Sus scrofa: one gene and its partners. The protein of the gene in region 2 interacts with the protein of the main gene of each other region in a biochemical or structural test. Links are inferred from orthologs where the notes say so. Each region holds a gene or a part of one and is shown on either strand. Other genes may lie near its edges.

The links. The genes of interacting proteins can lie anywhere in the genome.
Region 1: the proteins of IKBKG (region 2) and SENP2 form a complex in vitro, tested with the Homo sapiens proteins (2 studies listed by BioGRID and IntAct, with this or other methods). The link is inferred for Sus scrofa from reciprocal best matches to the Homo sapiens genes IKBKG and SENP2.
Region 3: of the proteins of IKBKG (region 2) and NFKBIA, one has a biochemical effect on the other in vitro, tested with the Homo sapiens proteins (15 studies listed by BioGRID and IntAct). The link is inferred for Sus scrofa from reciprocal best matches to the Homo sapiens genes IKBKG and NFKBIA.

The regions. Positions count from the first base shown.
Region 1 is NC_010455.5:123,427,387-123,434,426, forward strand, and holds the start of SENP2 (sentrin-specific protease 2), read left to right. Parts: upstream 1-2,528; 5' UTR 2,529-2,754; coding exon 2,755-2,855; intron 2,856-3,151; exon of another isoform or gene 3,152-3,254; intron 3,255-5,260; coding exon 5,261-5,316; exon of another isoform or gene 5,317-5,408; intron 5,409-7,040. UniProt on the Homo sapiens protein: Protease that catalyzes two essential functions in the SUMO pathway.
Region 2 is NC_010461.5:125,041,987-125,049,065, reverse strand, and holds the start of IKBKG (NF-kappa-B essential modulator), read right to left. Parts: upstream 4,187-7,079; coding exon 4,000-4,186; intron 1,550-3,999; coding exon 1,338-1,549; intron 588-1,337; coding exon 469-587; intron 1-468. UniProt on the Homo sapiens protein: Regulatory subunit of the IKK core complex which phosphorylates inhibitors of NF-kappa-B thus leading to the dissociation of the inhibitor/NF-kappa-B complex and ultimately the degradation of the inhibitor.
Region 3 is NC_010449.5:64,505,442-64,512,630, reverse strand, and holds NFKBIA (NF-kappa-B inhibitor alpha), read right to left. Parts: upstream 4,513-7,189; coding exon 4,286-4,512; intron 4,068-4,285; exon of another isoform or gene 3,718-4,067; intron 3,712-3,717; coding exon 3,603-3,711; intron 3,252-3,602; coding exon 3,041-3,251; intron 2,752-3,040; coding exon 2,663-2,751; intron 2,545-2,662; coding exon 2,284-2,544; intron 1,925-2,283; coding exon 1,877-1,924; downstream 1-1,876. UniProt on the Homo sapiens protein: Inhibits the activity of dimeric NF-kappa-B/REL complexes by trapping REL (RELA/p65 and NFKB1/p50) dimers in the cytoplasm by masking their nuclear localization signals.

The DNA of each region.
Region 1 (7,040 bases), on a different chromosome or scaffold from region 2:
AATCGGGTGAAATACCCTACAAAAACTTAAGCCATGAGGTTGTGCTCCTCTGCCGGTGCACGGGTGCAAGTTATTCAAACCAAGAGCAGAAACCTCAACATCCTTGTAACTCCCTGTGATTTTGGAGTTCTCCTCTGGGCCTCCGGTGAAGAGTTCCTGGGTCTGGGAATGGCTGCAGAAGGGGTGGATTTGGGAGTAAGGATAATCCCACTCCTTGGTCAGTGGATGGACAGTGGTCCTTACCTCTACTGTGGACGACAGGACATCGAAGGCACCAACTGGCAGACAAGACCCAAGCGGAAGCGACTGTAAGGCTGAATCCCCTTTCTTTCTCCACTTCAGAGGGTGACTAGAGACACTAAGAGGACACAAAGTGGTGGGGGTGGGGGGTTGTGCTCATGGAAGGGCTGGCATAGTTATTGTTTGTTGATGAGGTCCAGAGATATGGACTGAGGTCTGTAATTCCAAAGCCCTCCGACTTTTCTTGGCGGGTGACCGACATTCCAGTATTGGGTACTTGCTCCAATGAGGCAGAAAAAAAAATACGTTGTGATGTTGTACTAGACTTCTCTGTAACATGATGCCAATGTTTCTTAAATCTTAGTGGCCAGGACCTGGGAGAAAGTGCTATTCTAAAGCAACCTCGGAGTGTTCTGGTTTATGTTTCGAATGAAGGCCACTCCTTTGTTTTGGAGAATTCCTTCCTGATACTTAAGTGTTCTTGGTTTGACAAAAGCAAAGACCAGCTTTTATAGTAGAAGGGACTTTTGGGACACAGCTGAACTGCCCTGCTGGTAGCCTTCTTCATCATCTTCTTCTTCTTCTTCTTTTTTTGTCTCTTTAAGGCTGTACTCACGGCTTGTGGAGGTTCTTAGGCAAGGGGTCCAGTCGGGGCTGTAGCTGCCGGCCTAGGCCACAGCCACAGCAACACCAGATCCGAACTGCGTCTGTGACCTACACCACAGTTCGTGGCAACGCCGGATCCTTAACCCACTGAGCGGGGCCAGAGATTGAACTTGTGTCCTCATGGATACTAGTCACATTTGTTTCTGCTGAGCCATGATGGGAACTCCCTAGATGCTGTATTTGTAATAGCCACTTCTAAACTTTCTCAGCTTTGTAATTCTCCTGTTATTCCCAGACTATCTGTAATGGCCTGGTATTAGCTATATTTTAGGGAATTGAGGGAGGAGCCCATGCCCACATTTAGGATTTGCTTCTACCCTCCAGGAACTGCTCCTATCCCCAGCCCAGGCCAGAGTGGTGGGTAGCCACAGGTGGGTAGCTGGTGGTTCTGTGGCTCTAGGAGGTGGCTTGCTGCAGAAAAATATTTATTGAACAAGGATGAGACTGTACTAGGGAGTGTCTCTGTTGAAGTTCAAGCAAGTCTGGAAGTCCAACCTTAACTGAATCACAGATTAAAGATCAAGTATTTCCAGGGATGGATTCGTGGGCAAGAAAACCTTTGCATATTCCCAGGAGTGTTAGGTAGGGGACTGGATTTTCCAGTAATAAGAAGGGTGGTTATTTTTCTATTGTTGATCGTTACTGGGAACCTCTAGACAAGAGAGGGAGAGTAGTTAGCAGGACTTCTTGGCAGCTCAGGGGGTATTAGTAGGTACTACTAGTAGGCCACAGGGAGCCTTCCATTCTTAAGTGTCTGTGAAGACTTTTTTGAGTTCTGCCCTTCCCGTCCTTTTCCCATCCAGTTTTCCTTTCTTTGGCTCCTACTGCACTCTGTACCCACCTTTATCACAACAGCCTTTTTTTTTCTTTTTCGTTTTTTGGCCACGCCCAGGACTTAGGGAAGTTCTCTAGCAAGGGATCCAACCTGTGCCACTGCAGGGACTCTAGAAATTGCAATGATGACACCTGATTCTTAACCCTCTGTACCACAAGGGACCTCCCAATCATCTTTTTAAAAATTTAACTTAAGTGCAGTTTACTTACAACCAATTGTCTTGAGGTGTAATTTGTAATCATATCTCCCAGTAGACTGATCTCAAGGGCAAGAGACTGGTGTTGGTACACAGACCCTGGTTCAAATTCCATCCGTGGTACTAGCTAGTTTTGTGACCGTAGGCAATTACTTAATCGCTCTATCCCTCGATTTCCTTACTGATTAAAAGTGGGCACAAGGTTCTGCATCTCCTGAGGTTGCTGAGAGAAATGAAGTTGACTGCGTGTAAAAATACCAGGCATAAAGTATGTGCAAAGTAAAGGGATCCTAGCAGGGTGAACGTTTGTTAATTAGCCTGACTAACCTTTATTTTGTGCATTCAACAAACATTTAATGATCACCTGCAGTATTGCAGGCCCCTGGAGCGCTCACTCCAGGGTAGAGAACGCTCTTGTGCGGCCGGTGGGCTTGTCCCTCGGGCAGTCTCAGGATTGGCTCCGCCGAAGAGAATACCCCGCCCACATCCCTTGCGATCTCGTCAGCGATTGGACTGGAACCTTCCCGCAGGCATTCTGGTTGCTAGGCTCAGGAGGTGGGGACCTAGGTTGCGCGTGCGCAAACTGAGAATGAGGATGCTTTCCGGTCGGGCGGGAGGAGGTGACGTCAGGAGCGGTGGCTAGCGGGGGCCTCCTGTAGCTCAAGGGACGTTGTATCTGTGGGCCCTAGGACCGCGTCACAACTCGGCGACTGAGCCTTGGCGGTGGTGGCCGAGGCGGAGAAGGCGGCAGCGGCGGCGACAGCTCTGGGGTTTGCGTCTCGGGGTGTGTCGGCCGCCGCTGCTGCTTGGGCCTGGTATGTACAAATGGCTGGTTAGGATTCTCGGCACCATTTTCCGTTTTTGTGACCGGCCGGTGCCCTCTTCCCGGGCTCTCCTGAAGAGGCGGCGCTCGAACAGGTGAGAGGAGAGGGGGCCGAACGCCGGCCTGGCACTCCCCCTCCCCCACCCGGGGCTCGGCTAGCCTAGCGCTGACCCAACCAGGCAGGCCCCGCTTGGCAGAAACAGGTAGCTGGGCGGAGGTGGTCGAGGTGCGGATCGCGGGCGTCCTGGTGACGTAGTCGCTCCTCCCCGCTGTGTGGATGCGGCTCCTGATGATGGAAGGAGCCAGTAGTTGATGGTTAGGATCTTTCTCATCAGAGCCCAAGCTGGTTGCTGTTAACAAATAGAGCTTTGTCATATTTTGCTGCTCTTAGGTTGAATACTGAAAATTGAAGGAAAACTGTCTTTGTTGTGGCTCACTGTTTGCAAAGCACACCCCCAGGTGTCATCTGTGCGCAATAAGCGCAGTTAAGGGAGGTGAGAATCATAGCTTGCCCAAAGTCCTTTTGACCACACGTACTGTTCTCTTAGCAACAAGAGACAGCAGCTGTCTTGTTCTAAAACAGCTGTCAAACTGTGTGTGTGTGTGTGTTGTCGGGAGGAGGGAGAGTGATTCTGTGCTTTAGAATTAGTGTATGAGAAAAAAAAATAGATATCTGATTACTTTAAAAAGATCACTAGTCTGTACTCTAAAATTCTGTTAAAATTTTGGAGAAACTAAAAGTTGTTCTTTGCATTTACCTGTTGGTTTGTCCCATTTCATTGTGTCCACCCCCTTCCCTAAGAATTAATCGAGAGAATAAAATACCATACTAAGTCTGTACATACCCACACCCAACTTTTAGTGGTCAGGTATTAATTTAATTTTTTATTAAGCCTCAAGATTGAAGGTTGGTTTCTTGGAGCTTGAGACAAAGATGATTAATTAATACATGAATCTAAGAATGCTGCTCATGATGAAATTGGCTTTGGGCTAAATTCCATCCTATGTTCTAGAGAGGGCAAGATTTCATTGTGTTTTTTATAATTTTCTGTGGAGTTAATACAAGGATCATTTGAATACAAGTTGTGCCTAAAATGATGCTTAATGCATATAAGGGTAGTGTTTGTTTATTCTACTCCAAGGGCCTTGTGCAGAGGCCGGAGCATGACAGGCACTTGTATATATTTATTGAATAAGGGAATGTTAATTCCCTCTCCCTCGTCCTTTATTTTTAATGCAAATCTCTGCTGGTCAGGGAAACTGGCTTGTAGATCAAAATCCTGTTCTTTATTATACATCCTTAATTGATATAAACTCTTCATTGTAAGCCATTTTTCAGTCCAAATGAAGCCAAAAAGTCTTCGTGGGATGTTGAAAGTTATGAACCAAATGGTATTCTCCTGAGATTTATTCTGTTTTTTCTTTTGTAAATAGGATCATTCCTAATCATCTTTAGAAAGATGATTATAGGAGTTGCTGTCATGGCTCAGTGGAAATGAATCCGACTAGGAACCATGAGGTTGCAGGTTCGATCCCTGGCTTCGCTCAGTGGGTTAAGGATCTGGCATTGCCATGAACTGTGGCGTAGGCCGGCAGCTATAGCTCCAATTGGACCCCTAGTCTGGGAAGTTCTGTATGCCGTAAGTGCAGCCCTAAAAAGCCAAAAAAAAAAAAAAAAAAAAAAGAAATGAAAAGAAAGATGGTTAACTGTGAAGCTTTAACCTTGAGATATAGGTCCAAAAACTTTTCTGAATTTACAAATTTTTGAGATATAGGTCCAAAACTTTTCTGAATTTCCAAATTCTTTATCACTGTAATATAGTTTCCATGATAAAAACACAGTTAAATATAACACCCTTTTCTGGCTAAGAACTGTCTTTTTTTTTTGTCTTTTCTAGGGCTGCACTCACAGCATATGGAGGTTCCCAGGCTAGGGGTCTAATCGGAGCTGTAGCTGCCGGCCTACACCACAGCTCACAGCAACGCTGAATCCTTAACCCCCTGAGCAAGGCCAGGGATTGAACCCACAACCTCATGGTTCCCAGTTGAATTCGTTAATCACTGAGCCACGATGGGAACACCAGAACTGTCTTTTAAGTAGACAATTCTTAAATTGTCTACTTCTATCTGAAGTAAAAAATGATTTTCTTCTGGGGAAGCTGTCATCTTTCAGAAGGAAATTATTCTTAAATCATTTTTGGAGAGAAAGGGAATAACTGGTCCTAAGCTTTTACCTATATTCGTTTACTAGTAAAGATTTCTGGCCAGTTTCATGTTTGTAGTCTAGCCAGACTACACATGATTATATAATAGGGAATTTTAGATCTCCACATCCTCAAAAGCTGAAGACCTACTATAGCATAAACATCAGTTAGATCTCATTTTATGACAGAGTGAATGGAAGAGGGTGTGTTTGAATAGTAAGCTTACTTATAGAAATGGAAATGTGTGTATATGAACATATATGCATATATATTATGTCTCTCTTCTCTTTTTTCAGCAGTCTCTTTTCTACAGTGGACACTGATGAAGTACCAGCCAAAAGACCAAGATTAGGTATTAAATATTAATTAAAAAAATAGCTTTTTCAATAGGAAAAATATATGTATGGACAAAATTCAAAAGATAAAAAGTATATACAGTGAAAAGTAAGTCTTTTTCCTGTCCCTTTTCCATTGTTATCTTTTTTAGAGGTAAACAGTGTTACCAGAGACTTAAATATCTTTCTAGATAAATAAGTCTGTATGTTGAAATTGCATTTCAAAATTCCTAATCTTCCTATAAAGAAAAGGTGCTTTTTATTTATTTTTAAAATTTATTATTATTATTATTTTTGTCTTTTTGTCTTTTTAGGGCCACACCTGTGGCATATGAAGGTTCCCAGGCTAGGAATCTAATCAGAGCTGTTGCTGCTGGCTTACGCCGGAGCCACAGCAACACCAGATCCGAGCCGCGACTGCGACCTACACCACAGCTCATGGCAACACCAGATCCTTAACCTACTGAGCAAGGCCAGGGATCGAACCCGAAACTTCATGGTTCCTAGTCGGGGATTCGTTCCCGCTGCACCACGACAGGAACTCCTATTTCTTAATTTTTTACTTTTAAAATGAGAGTTGGAATATTTATTTCAGGTTCTCTCTCTCTCTTTTTAAGCATTTAAAAATTTTTTTGCCACACCGGCAGCACGTGGATGTTCCTGGGTCAGGGATCGAACCTGTGCCACACAGTAGTGACCAGAGCGTCAGCGGTGAAAACACAGGAGGCTTAACCCACTAGGCCATCAGAACTCCCAAAAGGTGCTTTTTATTTGAAGAGAAAACATTGTAAAAACTATTTCAAACTGGAGTCATCTAGTTCAGATAGCTAAGTGATCCAGTATAATGAGTTACCTCAGATTGTTTACTTCTCTGTATCTGAAGGTCTAGACATCACTGGTAGAAGAGAATAAAACTAGATTAAAGGGAAAAGGCACTATTAAATACTATAATAGTGTTTTCCTTCTTCTCAAAAATGAATGTGAATTTGAATCTATCTCCAGATGTAGTAAAGAGTGGATATGTCTGTGTTAAGATTTAATGTAAATTCAGGAGTGCTTATTGAGCCTATCTTACTGTTAAACAATGTGTTAGGTTCTACAGGAAATACAGAAATGAATACAACAGGTTCTTTATTTTTAAGGACATTACAACTGCAGGAGTATATGATTATTTAGTGGGGGGTTTAAGACAGTACATAAATTATACTAATGTCAATGATTACATGATAAATGAAATAAGAAAAGTAATAACATAATACTGTCCGATTTTCAGCTCTAAGAGTCTCAGTAAATATTTGATGAAGGAGCTAATATGTGAGGTGAGTCCAAGGATGGATAGGGTATTGACAGAGCAATAGGAAGGACAGTAGGCAGAGGGGACAGTAAAAAGTTTTGCAATTCAGGAAATAATGAATAAAACAGGGGAAAAATTGACAAAAGAGAGAGTTCAAAATACAGAAGACTTTGAATGTCAGAAATATATACCAAATTTATTAGGACATTATATTCCAAAGCACAGGATAGATACCAGTTCAGGAAATGATTTTAGGAGATACGACATTCATAGCATTAAGAAACATTTGGGAATTCCTGTCGTGGCTCAGTGGTTAATGAAACCGACTAGGAACTGTGAGGTTGTGGGTTCGATCCCTGGCCTTGCTCAGTGGGTTAAGGATCTGGCGTTGCTGTGGCGTAGGCCGGCGGCTACAGCTCCGATTGGACCCCTCGCCTGGGAACCTCC
Region 2 (7,079 bases):
TACAGGAAGCAGCCTCTGCAGAAGAGAGGGGCCAGCAGGGCTGGTGTGAGTCCCCTACGCTGCCAGGACACTCGCCCTCCAGATGAGGGAGGTCCCCATGCCTAGACCGTGGGCACAACACGGTGGCCTATGGGGAGCACCTGCTTTCCTCCAGGAGTCAGGAGGCTTGGCGTGTGCTGGGCCATGACCAGCCCTCCATCAAACTCAGGGCGCTGAGTCTCCAGTGGCGCCCCAGGCCTCCAGGGAGGCCCAAGTCGCCGCCAGAGAAGGGAGGAAAGGAGGAGGGGGCCAGAGGCAGGGGGTGCTCCGCCCCCGCCCTGGGCCTTCCGTCCTCGGGGGTCCTGGGCCGGGAGGGCACTGTGATCACGTGGACTCGTCCCCCCCACCCCGCAAACGGCCCCTCGGGAATCATCCAAAACTCTGGCAAAAAGTCAGCGGCCTCGGGCAGGGCTCTCCCTCCACGCTCACCTGCTCTCCAGAGCCTGCCGCTCCTTGGTGGCGGCCTCCAAGCGACTCTGGCTCTCCTGCAGCTCCCCCAGCAAGGACGTCACCTGGGCTTTCACTGAGGCCTTGTCCTCTGCCATCTGCTGCACGAGAAGAAGCCACGCCACGTCAGCACTGAGACCGGCCACCCCCGGGGCTCCTCTCCTGCCCCCGGCACCCCGACTCATCTCCCTCTCATCTCTCGAAGCTTCTCCCCCAGCAAGGCCACTGAGGATGGGGCCAGAGGAGCACAGAGCTGCCCATGCGGGCTGAGCCCAGCAGGAGTCTCCCCACCTTGCTGAGACTCAAACATGTGACAGAAACCTGCGCGCTCCCCGGGCCCCAGGCCACTAGCAGGTAAGAGGGAGTGACGCTGTTCCCACAAGTCCTGCACCTGCCCCAAAACTCAAGAGTTCTCCAACTCCCCACCGCCCAGACGCCCTCCCAAGGCTGTGCAAACCCTGGGCCCGAGACCTCAGGCTGCTCAGGCCCAGGGTCAAGCCTCAGGCCCCCACCCCTACACGCAGCGCCACCCACCCCGCCCGCCACTCATCCCCCTCCTTTTCACGCCCATCTGCGTGCACCTGAGGATGATCGGGTCGGTCTCAAGGTTTCCACTGCCCTGGACAGGCCAACGGCTTCCAAACCCTGAACCCCCACTGAGCCAGCCAACGGCCTGCCGATCGCCCTGACGCCCGTCCGCAGGCCCTGCTGGCTAAGGCGCCCACTGCCACCACCCCCGCCCGCCCTGGTCAGAGCCCCGAGGATAACGGCTTCTCTCGACTCTGTGCGGCCGCCCGAGGGTGCTCCTGGGGACCCCCGGGGGAGAGGGCAGGCGGCCGGCGCCCCGCTACCTGCTGGCAGGTCTTCAGGAGCTCCACCTCCTGCAGGGCCTGCTCCCTCTGCCTGCGCAGCTCCAGCTTCTCGAGGCTCAGCCTCTCGACCAGGCGCCTGGCCTCGCAGAACTTCTGCATGAGAAACTCCTTCTCCTCCCGCTGGCTGCCCTGGAAACGCTGCAGCTCCTCACAGCGCTCCCGCAGCATCTGGTTGCTCTGCCGGATGGCATCTGGCGGCAGAGGAGACGCAGAGGGAGGTGAGGGCGCCGGCCTCTCCCAGGCAGCGCACTTTCAAAAGCAGTGGTGCCCATCACGTGCCCATGCTTTTCCAATCAAACATTAAACACATCAGGTGCACTGAGAGCTCTGGGTCCGATGCCACCTTTTTTGTAAGTGACGCTGGAACTCGTCTATGTTCTGCTCGGGTGGGAGGCAGGCCTACCCTAGGGCACCCGGTCACTGCCTCCAGGATCAGGGGGCCGGCCACACAGGGCAAACGTCCCTGTGGCCCTGCTGCCGCAGACTGGGGGCCGGAAGCCTTGGAGCCAGCCGGCCGGTCACCGAAGCCCCACCATCCTCATCGACATGTCCCAACGGGGACGATGACACCCATCTCACGGGACAAGGAAGGTCACACAAACAAGCAGCCAAGAGCCGGCACACAAGACCAACTCGGGGACCAGTCGGTCGTCCTCTCCCCACACACCCAGCGGACACCCCAGGCGGCAGAAGGCCATCGTGAGCGACAAAACTCATCAGCGGCACGCAGAGGTTCTAGCAAGCACAGAGCCAGATGACACGGGGCAGGCAGTGGCTTCATGTCACCCTCTGGTCAAAACACGTGACCAGCTAACTGGTGCCTGCTACTGGAACATTCTTTCACTAGAACTTCAGCAAGTTATTTTCTCTCCCCTCCTTTTCTTGGCTGCACTTGCAGCATGTGGAAGTTCCCAGGCCAGGGGTTGAACCCGTGCCACAGCAGCGACCAGAGCCACAGCAGTGACAACACCAGATCCTTAACCCACCGAGCCACCAGGGAACTCCTACGGCAAATTCTGAGCCCCACTCCAAAGCCACCTTCTGGACTCCACGGTCCCCACATGACTCCTCCTGTGCAGCTGACCAACAAGCCTTGGACAAGGCCTCTTGCCGAAGGCAGATGGTCCCCCCCAACGGCCACCTGCCAAGCCTCCGTCCGAGGTTCACCTCAGCTCCCACAAAACCTCTGTTTTGGGGGTTTTTTTAAAGATCTTTTTTTGGGCCGCACTCACGGCATGTGAAGTCCCTGGGCCAGGAAGCAAACCTGCACCACAGCAGCGACCTGAGCCACTGCAGTGGCAACACTGGATCCTTAACCTGCTGCACCACAAGAAAACCCACAACTTTTGTTTTTAATTGAGGTAAAATTCACGTAACAGCAAATTCACCATTTTAACTATTTTAAAATACACAATCAGGAGTTTCCGTTGTGGCTCAGCGGAAAAGAATCTGACTAGCATCCATGAGGACGCAGGTTTGATCCCTGGCATTGGTCAGTGGGTTAAGGATCCGGCGTTGCCCATGAGCTGTGGTGTAGGTCACAGATGAGGCTCAGATCCCGCATTGCTGTGGCTGTGACGTAGGCTGGCAGCTGCAGCTCCAATTTGACCCCTAGCCTGGGAACCTCCATATGCCCCCAATGAGGCCCTAAAAAAAGACAAAAAAAATACACAGTCATTCAGTGGCTTTAATGTATTCATATAGTTGTGCACCCGCCCCTCCCTCTAGTTCCAGTGCATTCCCATCACCCCCAAAAGAAACCTCCCACCCACAAGAGTGTCACTGAATGAGAGGCTAGGGGTGCCCCCCCCGGATGCCCCAGGCTACTGCACCAAAGGGGCAGCTTGCCAGCAGCGGAGGCCCAGGGCACAAACCCGAGGAGGAGGGGGCGCTGTCCCACACGAGGGGGCCAAGAACGGGTCACACCTGAGGGGCACGGAGCCATGGCCCCTGGGACCCGAGAAGGTGACCCCGATACAGGGGAGGACGCGGAGGCTGGGTGAGTGGGGCTGGGACGGAGGCGGGGGGGTGGGGGGTGCCGAAAAGCCCTCGACCCCCCGCCCCCGGCAAGTGCTGCTGGAGCACAGCCCTCCGTCAGGTCCCCGGCGCCGCCTGGCCCCTCCTTCCCAAAGCCGCCCCCCGGCCCTTCCCAGGGAGGCCACGCCCGTTCCCAGCGCAGACCACACCCCCTTCCTGGAGCAGATCCCGCCCCCTTCCCAGGAGACCCGCGCCCCTCCCAGTAAGGCTGGTTCTGACTGACTGGTCAGTACATGAGTACGGAGACACCAGGGCCTGGCGGCGTCGGCCCAACCGGGACAACGCAGAAGGGCCATATTCCAGCTCAAGCCCCTTGCAGGGTGGGCCTCTCCCTGCACCCACCCCTGCTTCTTCGCTGCCCTGCCCTCCCCTCCCCATCTGCAGGGCTGGTCCCAGAGGACTCTGAATAAACCTCCTGCGTGCCTCCCTGGATCTCGGCGTCCACTTCCCGGAAACCCCACCTGGACCAGGGCGGGGGCGGCGGCTGGGACCAAATCACTAACCCGCCCGGGTGCACGCCGCCCCAGTCCCAGGAAGGCAGAGGTGCGGCAGGTGGGAGGCGCCGGCCCGGGATCTCGGGGCACAGGCCCGCTGCCGCCCTCACCTCGGAGCTCTTGATTCTCCTCCAGGCAGCGCTGGAAGGTCTCAGGAGCACCCTGCTCCGAAGGCAGGTGGAGCATGGTTGGCTTCCCCAGAGAGGACTCTTCACCCAGCACGTCCTGGTCCCCTGCCGGGCCGCCGCTAGGCTGCACCATCTCACACGGCTGACTCTTCCAGGGGGTCCTGCTCATCCAACAAGTCAGCGTCTGAAAGAGATGCCAGCAGAGGCATCGCGTGAGGAGACCCAGGCAGAACTCTCCTACCCTGCAGGACAGGGAGTGCCAGGGCCACGCTCGGCAGAAGGACAAGCACTTTGCCAAGTGGAAAAGGCGCTAAAAAGGGCTCTTTGGTCTACGAGTGGCTCACATTCCCCTCATGTGGGGCTCGCAAAGGTCACGGTTCAGCACCGGCCGTAAACGGCGCCTCAGGCTAGCTCCCGGCTGGACGCTGAAGCTGCCGATTTCACCACAGAGGAGAATCGACGGAGATGAGGTTGGGAGGCAGGGGTCGCTGTGCTGGAATGCCCACCCTCCCCACACCTCCAAGCAGTAAGATGGGTCCACTCCCTGGGCCCCGGAACCGGGACTGATTGGGAAAGGGGATTTGTTGGAGTTCCCATTGTGGCTCAGCTGGTTAAGAACCCAACTAGTATCCATAAGGATGCAGGTTCGATCCCTGGCCTCACACAGCGGGTTAAGGATCAGTATTGCCGTGAGCTGTGGTATAGGTCACAGACGCAGCTCAGATCCCGTGTCACTGTGGCTCTCACTCATGTGGGCTGGCAGCTGCAGCTCCAATGAGACCCCTAGCCTGGGAACTTCCATATACCTCAAGTGTAGCCCTAAAAAGCAAAAAAAAAAAAAAAAAAAAAAAAAAAAAAAGGGAAAGGGAAAAGGAAAGAAGGAAAAGGATGTAATACAAGTGAAGGATCTGAAATGAGGTCCTCCTGGATCAGGGGAGCCCTAAATCCAATGATGAGTGTCCTTCTAAGAGACACAAAAGGAGAGACAGACACAGAAGAAGCCACGTGAAGATGCAGAGACTGGAGTGATGCGGCCCCAGCCCAGAGATGCCTGGAGCCACCACAGGCTGGAAGAGGCAGGAAGGACCCTCCCCTGGCGCCCCCAGAGGGAACAGGGCCCTGCCACGCCCTGACTTCAGGCTCCTGGTTTCCAGAACGGAGAGAGGACAAATGCTGTTGTCTTAAGCCATCTGCCTTGGACTCTCTCACGGCAGCCTAGGAAATCAATGTACCTAGTGAGAAGGGCTTCACAGAGACCACTCAGAACCTGGTGGGCATTCCCTGGAGCTGAGCACCCGAAAGCGGGAGCTGGGCTTGCAGCCTAAGGTGGCAGGGCCGAGAGTCAGGCTGAGCTGTGTGCATCGTCCTGTGAACTAGAGGCGGGGGCAGGGGGGCGCTCTGCGGGACAGCACCCGCCCGGAGCCCTTTTAAATCCTGCCCAAGAAAACCGACTACATGGAGGAGGAAGCCGATCCCAAAAGAAGCTTCCAGGAGAGAGCCTGAGCTGCAGCTAGAGACGTTTAACACCAAACAAGCTGGGACGTTTCGCTGTTACACTGATACTTCTCTGAATAACCCCCTGACCCACCAGCACTATCTGACCAACCGCTGAGCCCTGAGTCCAGAACAGCCACCACTTCACTGGCTGCTCCTGCTCTGGCTCTTTCCGTGGACCATCCTCGCCACACTTTTCATGCTGTGATGCTCCGGGGCTCCTTTCTGGGATCTCATCTTTTCTCTAACTACAGCTACTCCAGCGCTAATTCCATCCAGACTCCCAGCTTTAACCCCCATGCATCAAACTCAGCATCTCAGGCTGGACATCTAATCCTCCTCTCAAAACTCACCTCTCCAGAACTGCACTGCTCACAGTCCCCAGAAGCCGGCTCCACCCACAGCCTCCCTTATTATTAGGTGACAGCACGTCCACCCTCCGGTCAGCAGGACACAACCTGGGAGTCCTTCTTGAGTCCTCTCTGGCCCTCAGGGCTCACGTCTAATCCATTGGGAAATCCCGTCAAAAGGTATCTTAGAATCTATTTGAGGACACTAAGCAATTAATGTTAACTTATTTTAGGTGTGATACTTGGTACTGTGGTTGTTTCTTTCAAAGTCCATTCTTAGAGATGCATCCTGAAACATTTACAGCGAAATTATAAGGTGCCTGGAATTTGGTTCAAGGTAATGGGGGACCTGCTCGGTATGTACCTGAGAAAAATGAAAACACAGGTCCACGTGAGACTGCTCTTAGCGGCCAAAGGGTGGAAATGACCTACATGTCCATCGACTGATGAATAAACACAATCTAGTACATTCCTACCCTACCATGTTAATAATATTGAGCAGGAGTGGCGCAGTGGTTAACGAATCCGACTAGGAACCATGAGGTTGCGGGTTCGATCCCTGCCCTTGCTCAGTGGGTTAACGATCCGGCGTTGCCCTGAGCTGTGGTGTAGGTTGCAGACACGGCTCAGATCCCACATTGCTGTGGCTCTGGTGTAGGCCGGCGGCTACAGCTCTGATTGGACCCCTAGCCTGGGAACCTCCATATGCCCGGGAGCGGTCCAAGAAATGGCAAAAAGACAAAAAAAAAAAAAAAAAAAAAAAAAAAAAAAAAAACACTGAGCAACACAGAGAAACAGCTCACAAGAAACCACATATTATGAGTCCATTTATGTGAACTATCCAGAATAGGCAAACATAGAGAGATGGAAAGACTAATAGATGCTTAGAACTGAAGTAGATAAGGTGATGGGTTGATGAAAATGTTCGAGAATGAATGGTGATGGTTGTGCAGGTGTGTGAATATACTGAAAAGCAGTGAATTGTTCACTTTCAATGGGTGAATTGTGTGGTATGTGAATTATATGTCAATAAAGCTATTTTTGAAAATAAGAGATTATGAGGGGTATAAATTAAGCAAAGGTAGCAACAGGTTGATAACTGTTGACGCTGGGAGGTGGGTACCTTGGGTTTATACTATCCTTTCTACTTTTGCACATCTTTGGTATTTTTCACAATAAAACGATCCGAGCCCCATCATCTCTCACCTGGATAACTGC
Region 3 (7,189 bases), on a different chromosome or scaffold from region 2:
GGCACTGAACCTAACTGGCATCCACGTGTTAGATCATGTAACACCTGTGTTCAGGTGCCCCGGGATGGACAAAGAATTTCAGTGAGGGGCCTGGAGCACCGGAGCGAAGACAGGACAGTAGAGGGGCCACCACAGTGCTCAGCTCTAGATGACTGTGGCTGCTGGAGGGGGACAGAGCTGGCTTTGACCAGACAGTTCAGTTGATAGTGATACTCTTTGCATATGAAAGATCCATGAGGTGTTGGCTCCTTTTTTTGGTCTGAGAGGAAGGTGAACATCTTATTCTCTTTGACATTTTTTTGTAGGTCAGGAAAGGAATAATATAATAGTAATGTTTTCCTAGGTGTGAGCCGGAGAACATGAGGTGTATTGATACACCATTCTGTACTTTATAGAGCGCCAAAAACTTTCCTTTACTCCTCTATCTAGGCAAGAGATGTATTTTACAGATAAAAACTTTGAAAGCATCTACACCCAAACTTCACAAGTTTCCGATTTCTTGTGAAATCACTTGCTTCTCTAGAATCATTCAGTAGCATTAGATAGGGCTGATGAAAAGGCTCTTCCAGTCTTTATAATCAATTTGGTACTGCCACTAGGAACAAAACAGGCTGCTTTGCAGGTGGATGGCATTTCAAAAATGTTAGCCACCTGAAGGCAAGCGTGTATTCGCTAAGCTAACCACCTGCCTGTCCTGCAAGGTGATCCTGACCAGGACATTCTTTCTGGTCTTGTTCCTTCCCGTGTGAAATACAGGATGTTGTGCAACAGTTTGCATTTTTCTTTAGCACTCTGTGCCTGGCACTCTGCTGTGCTTGTTACGTGGATTGTCTTGTACAATTTACCAATGGCCGAGTTTTATCATCAGGGAAACAAAGGTGCAGAGGTGGGCACCTGCTAACACATTAGTGGGGGGTCCTGTTCCCCAGCCCATGTCCTCAGGAACTTCTAGTATCAAAATATGAGTACAACTAACTCCTCTTGGCTAAAGCTTCCTAAAGCAGAAGTAAGGTCCTGGCTGAATTTAAACCAGGAAGATGAAAGCAAGCGACAATGAAGAGCCTTCCAGCTGTAGGCCAACCAACTTGCTGCCACCCCAAGCCTGAAACTGGTGTTTCCTATCACCTTGCAACAGCCTCCCCTCCCACGCACTGGGCCTGGGGCTGCCTGCAAAGCCTGGCCGGGAGGCTGGTGTAGACGGTGTGAGAAGCTGTTCTCTGAAAGAGTTCCGTGGTTGGCTGTGGTAAATGCTCCCACACAATTCTCCACCTCCACCTCCACTTGGGGTTCGAATGACTCTCAGTGTAGGAGTCCCACAGCTGCCCGAAGAAGACAGTGATCAGAATTCTGTTTGTAAAAATCCATTTAATAAATATACATCTTAGAAGTACCAAAATAATTACCAACAAAATACATTATGTACAGTATTTACAGCAGGGTAACACAAACCTTGACAGGTCGTGACTTTTAACCCCACCCCACTGACAGGTTTAACAACACACCTGATTCTAACATTTCCCAGATACACCTGGGCTCCACCACTGACTCCATGGTGGTTCAACCAAGAAGCGCAATAAATAAAAGAGTCCCATCAAATTAGGGATAACCTTTCCCCCAGGCCCCACCAAGGTGCCGTTTAAAAGAGGTTCTCTCTGCATTCCGATGATCCTCCTTGGCGCCTTTCCAAAGTTCACAAGAATAACAAAATCGGGGCTAATCCACCAGAGCAAAATGTTTCAGGCCAGGCAGTGTGCGGTGTGGTTATAAGTATACCCTTTTTTCTTTTTTTTTCTTTTTTTCTTTTTTTTTAGAAAAATAAAACTCTTGATTTTGTACAAATGTACAAGTCCATGGTCTTTTAGACACTTTCCAAAGCTCATAACGTCAGGCGCTGGCCTCCAAGCACGCAGTCGTCATAGGGCAGCTAAAAGGGGAAAGAAAGGCATGTTAAACTTCCAGAACTTTGCCAAAGGTGCTGGGGTGATGGCAAGGGCTGCTACTGGAAATAACGCAAGTATTCTTGGACTCCGTTCCCTCTAACCCGAATCTGAATTAACTTCCTGGGCTGAAGTTTTCCTTTAAGGATCCTCTCCTTCAAAAAGAGCAAAAAAGCAAAAGAAAACCCCAGACCATAATCCTCCCCCTAAACCTACTCTTAGGACACTGCTTATGCTCCCTAATTTGAGATCCTCATTATGTTGAGACCCTCAGGAAAAGGAGGAGCTCTAGGGGTCCGAGAGCATTGCTTTTTGCAGACCCGTGAACAAGGTCATTGGGACTCACCTCATCCTCTGTGAACTCTGACTCCGTGTCATAGCTCTCCTCATCCTCGCTCTCTGGAAGCATCTGGAGGTTTTCTAGGGTCAGCTGGCCCAGCTGCTGCTGTATCCGAGTGCTTGGGCGGCCCCAGGTGAGCTGGTACGGGGAGTAGCCCTGGTAGGTGACTCTGTTGACATCAGCCCCACACTTCAACAAGAGCGACACCAGGTCGGGATTCTGCAGGTCCACCGCAAGATGCAGGGCGGTTCGGCCATTGCAGGGCTCCTGAAACCAAAAGGAATTTGAGATGCTTATGGCTGAGTCTGAGGTTTCTGCTAGCAGCAAGAGCATGTGATCTTATTGAGGGCTGAATGCCCTCCATCTGTAGGCTTGAAGCACCCACCTGAGCGTTGACATCAGCACCCAAAGACACCAACAGCTCCACAATGCCCAGGTAGCCATGGATCGAGGCTAAGTGCAGACATGTGTGGCCTAGAGTACCAAAAGTAACAAAATATAAGCACTTGTTGCCACCCTCACTTCTCAGAACTTTCACCTATTCTTTTAAGGGAGGAGGTCTTCTGAATTTGAAGAACCCAGACTCTGGGTTCTGAATGGACTTTAGTAAGGCATCAAATGCATACATGTTTTACTAAGACCTTGATGCATACATGTTTTCTCAGCCTTTCACGTGTTGAGAGTTTACACCTTGCCTTAAGTCGGCCCACCTCTCCCTTGTCTGTGTCACGTGCCCTCTGATGCATAGGGCAGCCAGACTTACCATTGTAGTTGGTGGCCTGCAGAATGGAGTGGAGGTGCTGGGTCCCGCGGGGCTGAGTCAGGACTCCCACACTGGCCAGGCAGCCCTGCTCACAGGCAAGGTGTAGAGGGGTATTTCCTCGAAAGTCTCGGAGCTCAGGATCACAGCCAGCTTCCAGAAGTGCCTCAGCGATTTCTGGCTGGTTGGTGATCACCGCCAAGTGGAGTGGAGTCTACCAACAGAAGAGGGACAGAAAGGATAAGCCATGGATCAAACCCACAATCCATGTTCCCCTTGAACCCTAGAGATATCCTGGTTGTGCGTGCCGCTCCTCCCAGACAGATACAAGGGGTTAAGGAAACAGACGGGAGACCCCAGGTGGGCTTCATAAAAGCCTCACCAAATCAATGGGATTTTTCCTTCCTCTCTAGGATGTTGGCTGATTCAGATGTAAAAGCTCAGGGCGGATCATGACTAGGGGCAGTTAATTGGGAAATCATTGGAAATAACTGTGCTAGATCCAGCTCCATCAAGGGGTCAGAGAGGCAGAACCCAAGAGGCACGGGGCGGGCAAGCAGCGCACCTGCTGCAGGTTGTTCTGGAAGTTAAGAAAAGCCAGATCTCCCTTCACTTGGCGGACCACTTCCATGGTCAGTGCCTTCTCTTCATGGATGATGGCCAAGTGCAGGAACCTGAGGGGAAGAGAGGGAAAACCCCCAGGGCTGGTGAGTGCACTGCGTGGGGCCCAGGGAGGCACAGCCCGCAGGGGATTGCGCAAGCCCGGGGTTTCTGGAGGCCGAGGCCGCGGTGTTTTCCGCGAGGTTATTATGAGCTGAGTGTTCCTGGCAGGCACCCAGGGACTTTCCGCCCCCCCCCCCTCCCCAGGCGGCGGGCGCCGGCCAGACCGCCCCGCCCTCCCGCCGGGCCGGAACGCCCTGTACTTCCCCTCCCGCCCGCCAGCGGGGCAGAAACTCCCGCCCCCCCTTATGCAAGCGGGGACTTCGCGTCCCCGTGGCCGCCCCGCCCCCGGCCGAGGGGACCCGCAAAGGTGGGTGAGGGGTGGGAGGTGTGCACGGCTGCAAGGTAGAGCCGCGGGACCACGGCCCCAATCCCCGATCCCCGGCTCCCACGCGCAACCGTGCACCTTTGCACAGCCTCGGGGTCCGTGCACGAACCCCGATTCGCGGCCGCAGCGCGGGCCCCGCACCTCCGGCTGCAGGCCCAGCGCCCCCACCCGGCCCCGCCACCCGGGCCCGCGACACTTACGAGTCTCCGTCCTCGGTGAGCTGCTGCTTCCAGGGCTCGGCGCCGCGGGGCGCCTCCTGCGGCTCGAGGCGGATCTCGCGCAGCTCCTTCACCATCTGCTCGTACTCCTCGTCCTTCATGGAGTCCAGGCCGCTGTCGTGGCGGTCATCCAGTAGCCGCTCCTTCTTGAGCGCGTCCCGGGGCCCCTCCATGGCCCACTCCTGGCCGGGCTCTGCGGGCTGGAACATGGCGCGATGAGGGCTTGGGCGCTGCTCCCTAGGTGCGCGGGCCACAGGCTGCGCGGCGCGCTGGCTGCTCGCGGTGGCTCGGGCGGGCGGGACGATGGCCTCGGACTGTTGTGGGCTCGGCAGCGCCGCCGCGGCGCCCTATAAACGCTGGCAGGGGATTTCTCCTGGGCGGGGTCAAGCTCGGGGAATTTCCAAGCCAGTCAGACCAGAAAAGAGAACTGGCCTCGTCCTCTGCTGGGGGAAAAAGAAGCCTAAACCCCGCGCCCGGGTTCATCAGAGAAACTCCCTGCGATGAGCCACTGGGGTCATGTACAGGGAACTTTTTAATGCACGCTGAGTGGCTGGAAAGTCCTCCCGACCCGGCCCCCTCCCCCGGTACTTCCCTGCAGCCTGCAGTCAGTAATCCTGGCCCTCTGCATGGAACCTTATTTTCCCTGGGGTTTCCCACGATCGATTTGATTTGGGGTCGTCGGCTGCTAAGATCCCAAGGATGGAGAACTGCTGGTTTGCTGACCTGCCGATGCTTTCCTTTTTTTTTTTTTTTTTTTTTTTTAATCTCTTGAAAATGGGAGTGGAAATGTTGGCTGGATCTAGGGATTCACTTCCCTAAACTCCTGGGGAAGGACACACTGAGGGTGGAAGGTCGCCGGCTGCCTCTGCGTTCCTACCAAAGACCAGGCTCCTGGCAGTGCAGGGACATAAACCTCCCCCTCCCTCAAGCCCCCCTCAGGTAGAAGTCGTGAAAGCTTTAGCATTAACAGCGTAAATGCTTAGAGAACCCTCAAATCATTTCCTCGGTATGAACAGTCCTGTTGACTGGGGGAGGAGCAAGCACTCTGCCCTGGATGCTGGAAAATGCTGGATATGACTGGGCTATTTTTCAGGGAAAGCAAGGTGTTAATTTTTATAGCAAAGGTTGTAGATACTTTGCAGTGACAAAATAATTACTGAGGTCGTGTTCCTCCATTTGCACTGTGCTGCTGCAGAGAACCTACTTGTGGGGGCCGCTTTCTAGAAGCATTTGGAGAAGGTGGCTAAAGAATGGGTTGAGTAGTATTTTACCCAAGATTGGGCCTTAAAGATGGCTAAGAAAGTAGTTGCCAGGCATACTGCAGGAGGCTCAGGGCAGCCCCAAGGTGGCCTTCATCCTGCCCCTGCTGGCTTCTTGGGGGACAAAGGAGGGGGCAGCAGTTGGACCTGTCCATGCCATATGGGTAGCTACTCCAGGTTCACCATGTCCAGGTCTCAGCTGCAGAAACAGAAGTATGCTCTCTGCCCCATCCCCACCTCCTAGCCAATGAAAGGAATGCATTCATCTACTTCTAGAAATGGTCCAGGCCCTAATAAAGCAACTTGGATCAGACTTTTTCAGAAGGCACCCCAGGAAGCTTTTATAGTTTTGCAGAGATTTCTCGTGATTGTTGCAATCATCTTCAACTTGACTGGCCATGCACCAACCAATCCTTTTCCTCTCCTCATCTCCCCCTCCCCAATACCCCCACCTCTGATATCTGAATGTAGGGATGACAGACAGAATATGAGGGACAAAATAAAATCAAGAAAGAAATCTTTGGGGTAGTAACGATCACATAATAAAATGAAAACTGTCCAGGGAGAGACTCTGTATGTCTTTGTAGGCATTTGATAGACAAATACATCATTATTAGGCAAGGTGGCATGTGACGCTAAGTAGGAGATCTCACTTCCCAGCTCCACCCTTAATGAGCTGCACATTAGTTGAATGAATTAGCTACCTTTGCTATGGGGTACCTTCTTTTATAATAACAAGGTTGGATTTAATGATATTTAGATTTTTTTCCAGATTAAAAATGGTATTACTTGGAGTTCCTGTCGTGGCTCAGAGTAAACGAGTCTGACTAGCATCCTTGAGGAGGCAGGTTTGATCCCTGGCTTTAATCAAGGGGGCTAAGGATCTGGCGTTGCTATGAGCTGTGGTATAGGTCACAGATGCCGCTTGGATCTGGTGTTTCTGTGGCTGTGGCATAAGCTGACGGCCACACCTCCTGGGAACCTCCTTATGCTATGGGTGCAGCCCTAGAAAAAAGACCCCCCCCAAATGGTATTAATTGACCATGAATACTTGTATAACTTTGCTTAAGGGTGACCATGTCTCTTGGAAATATCATAGGATAAATTTTTAGAAAGACTCCAGTACTTTCTGCAACACATTCTGTTCTCAGAACTCATCTTGCAAGGAACAGTTCTGACTTTCCTAAAAAGAAACTGAAATGCAGAGAAATTTACCTAGGCATCCCAGAGCAGTTCATCTCATTTCTATCCCAGCATATTAATCATTTAGCCAAAGAGGTCATGGTATTAATATTTTTGAAAACACTTTGTGAAAGTGCGACTGAATACACTCTGATTTGGAAGATAATGCAAACTATTCCAATTGTTGGATAAAATAGAATATCTGGGGATACTCCCATCTGTTAAAAAAAAATAAACTATACACACACACACACACACACACCACACACAGAAATATCAAACTCTAAGTGCCCCCACTTACAAATACCTTAGAAGAGGATTATTAGCTGCAGGTTTAAAAATGATCATTGAACAAATAATCATGCAGAAGTCAAAAGTATCTCAGGAATGTGTCTTTGCTCCTCCTGTGACAGCTTTCTGTTGCTGCAGGCCTTGGGGAACTGGT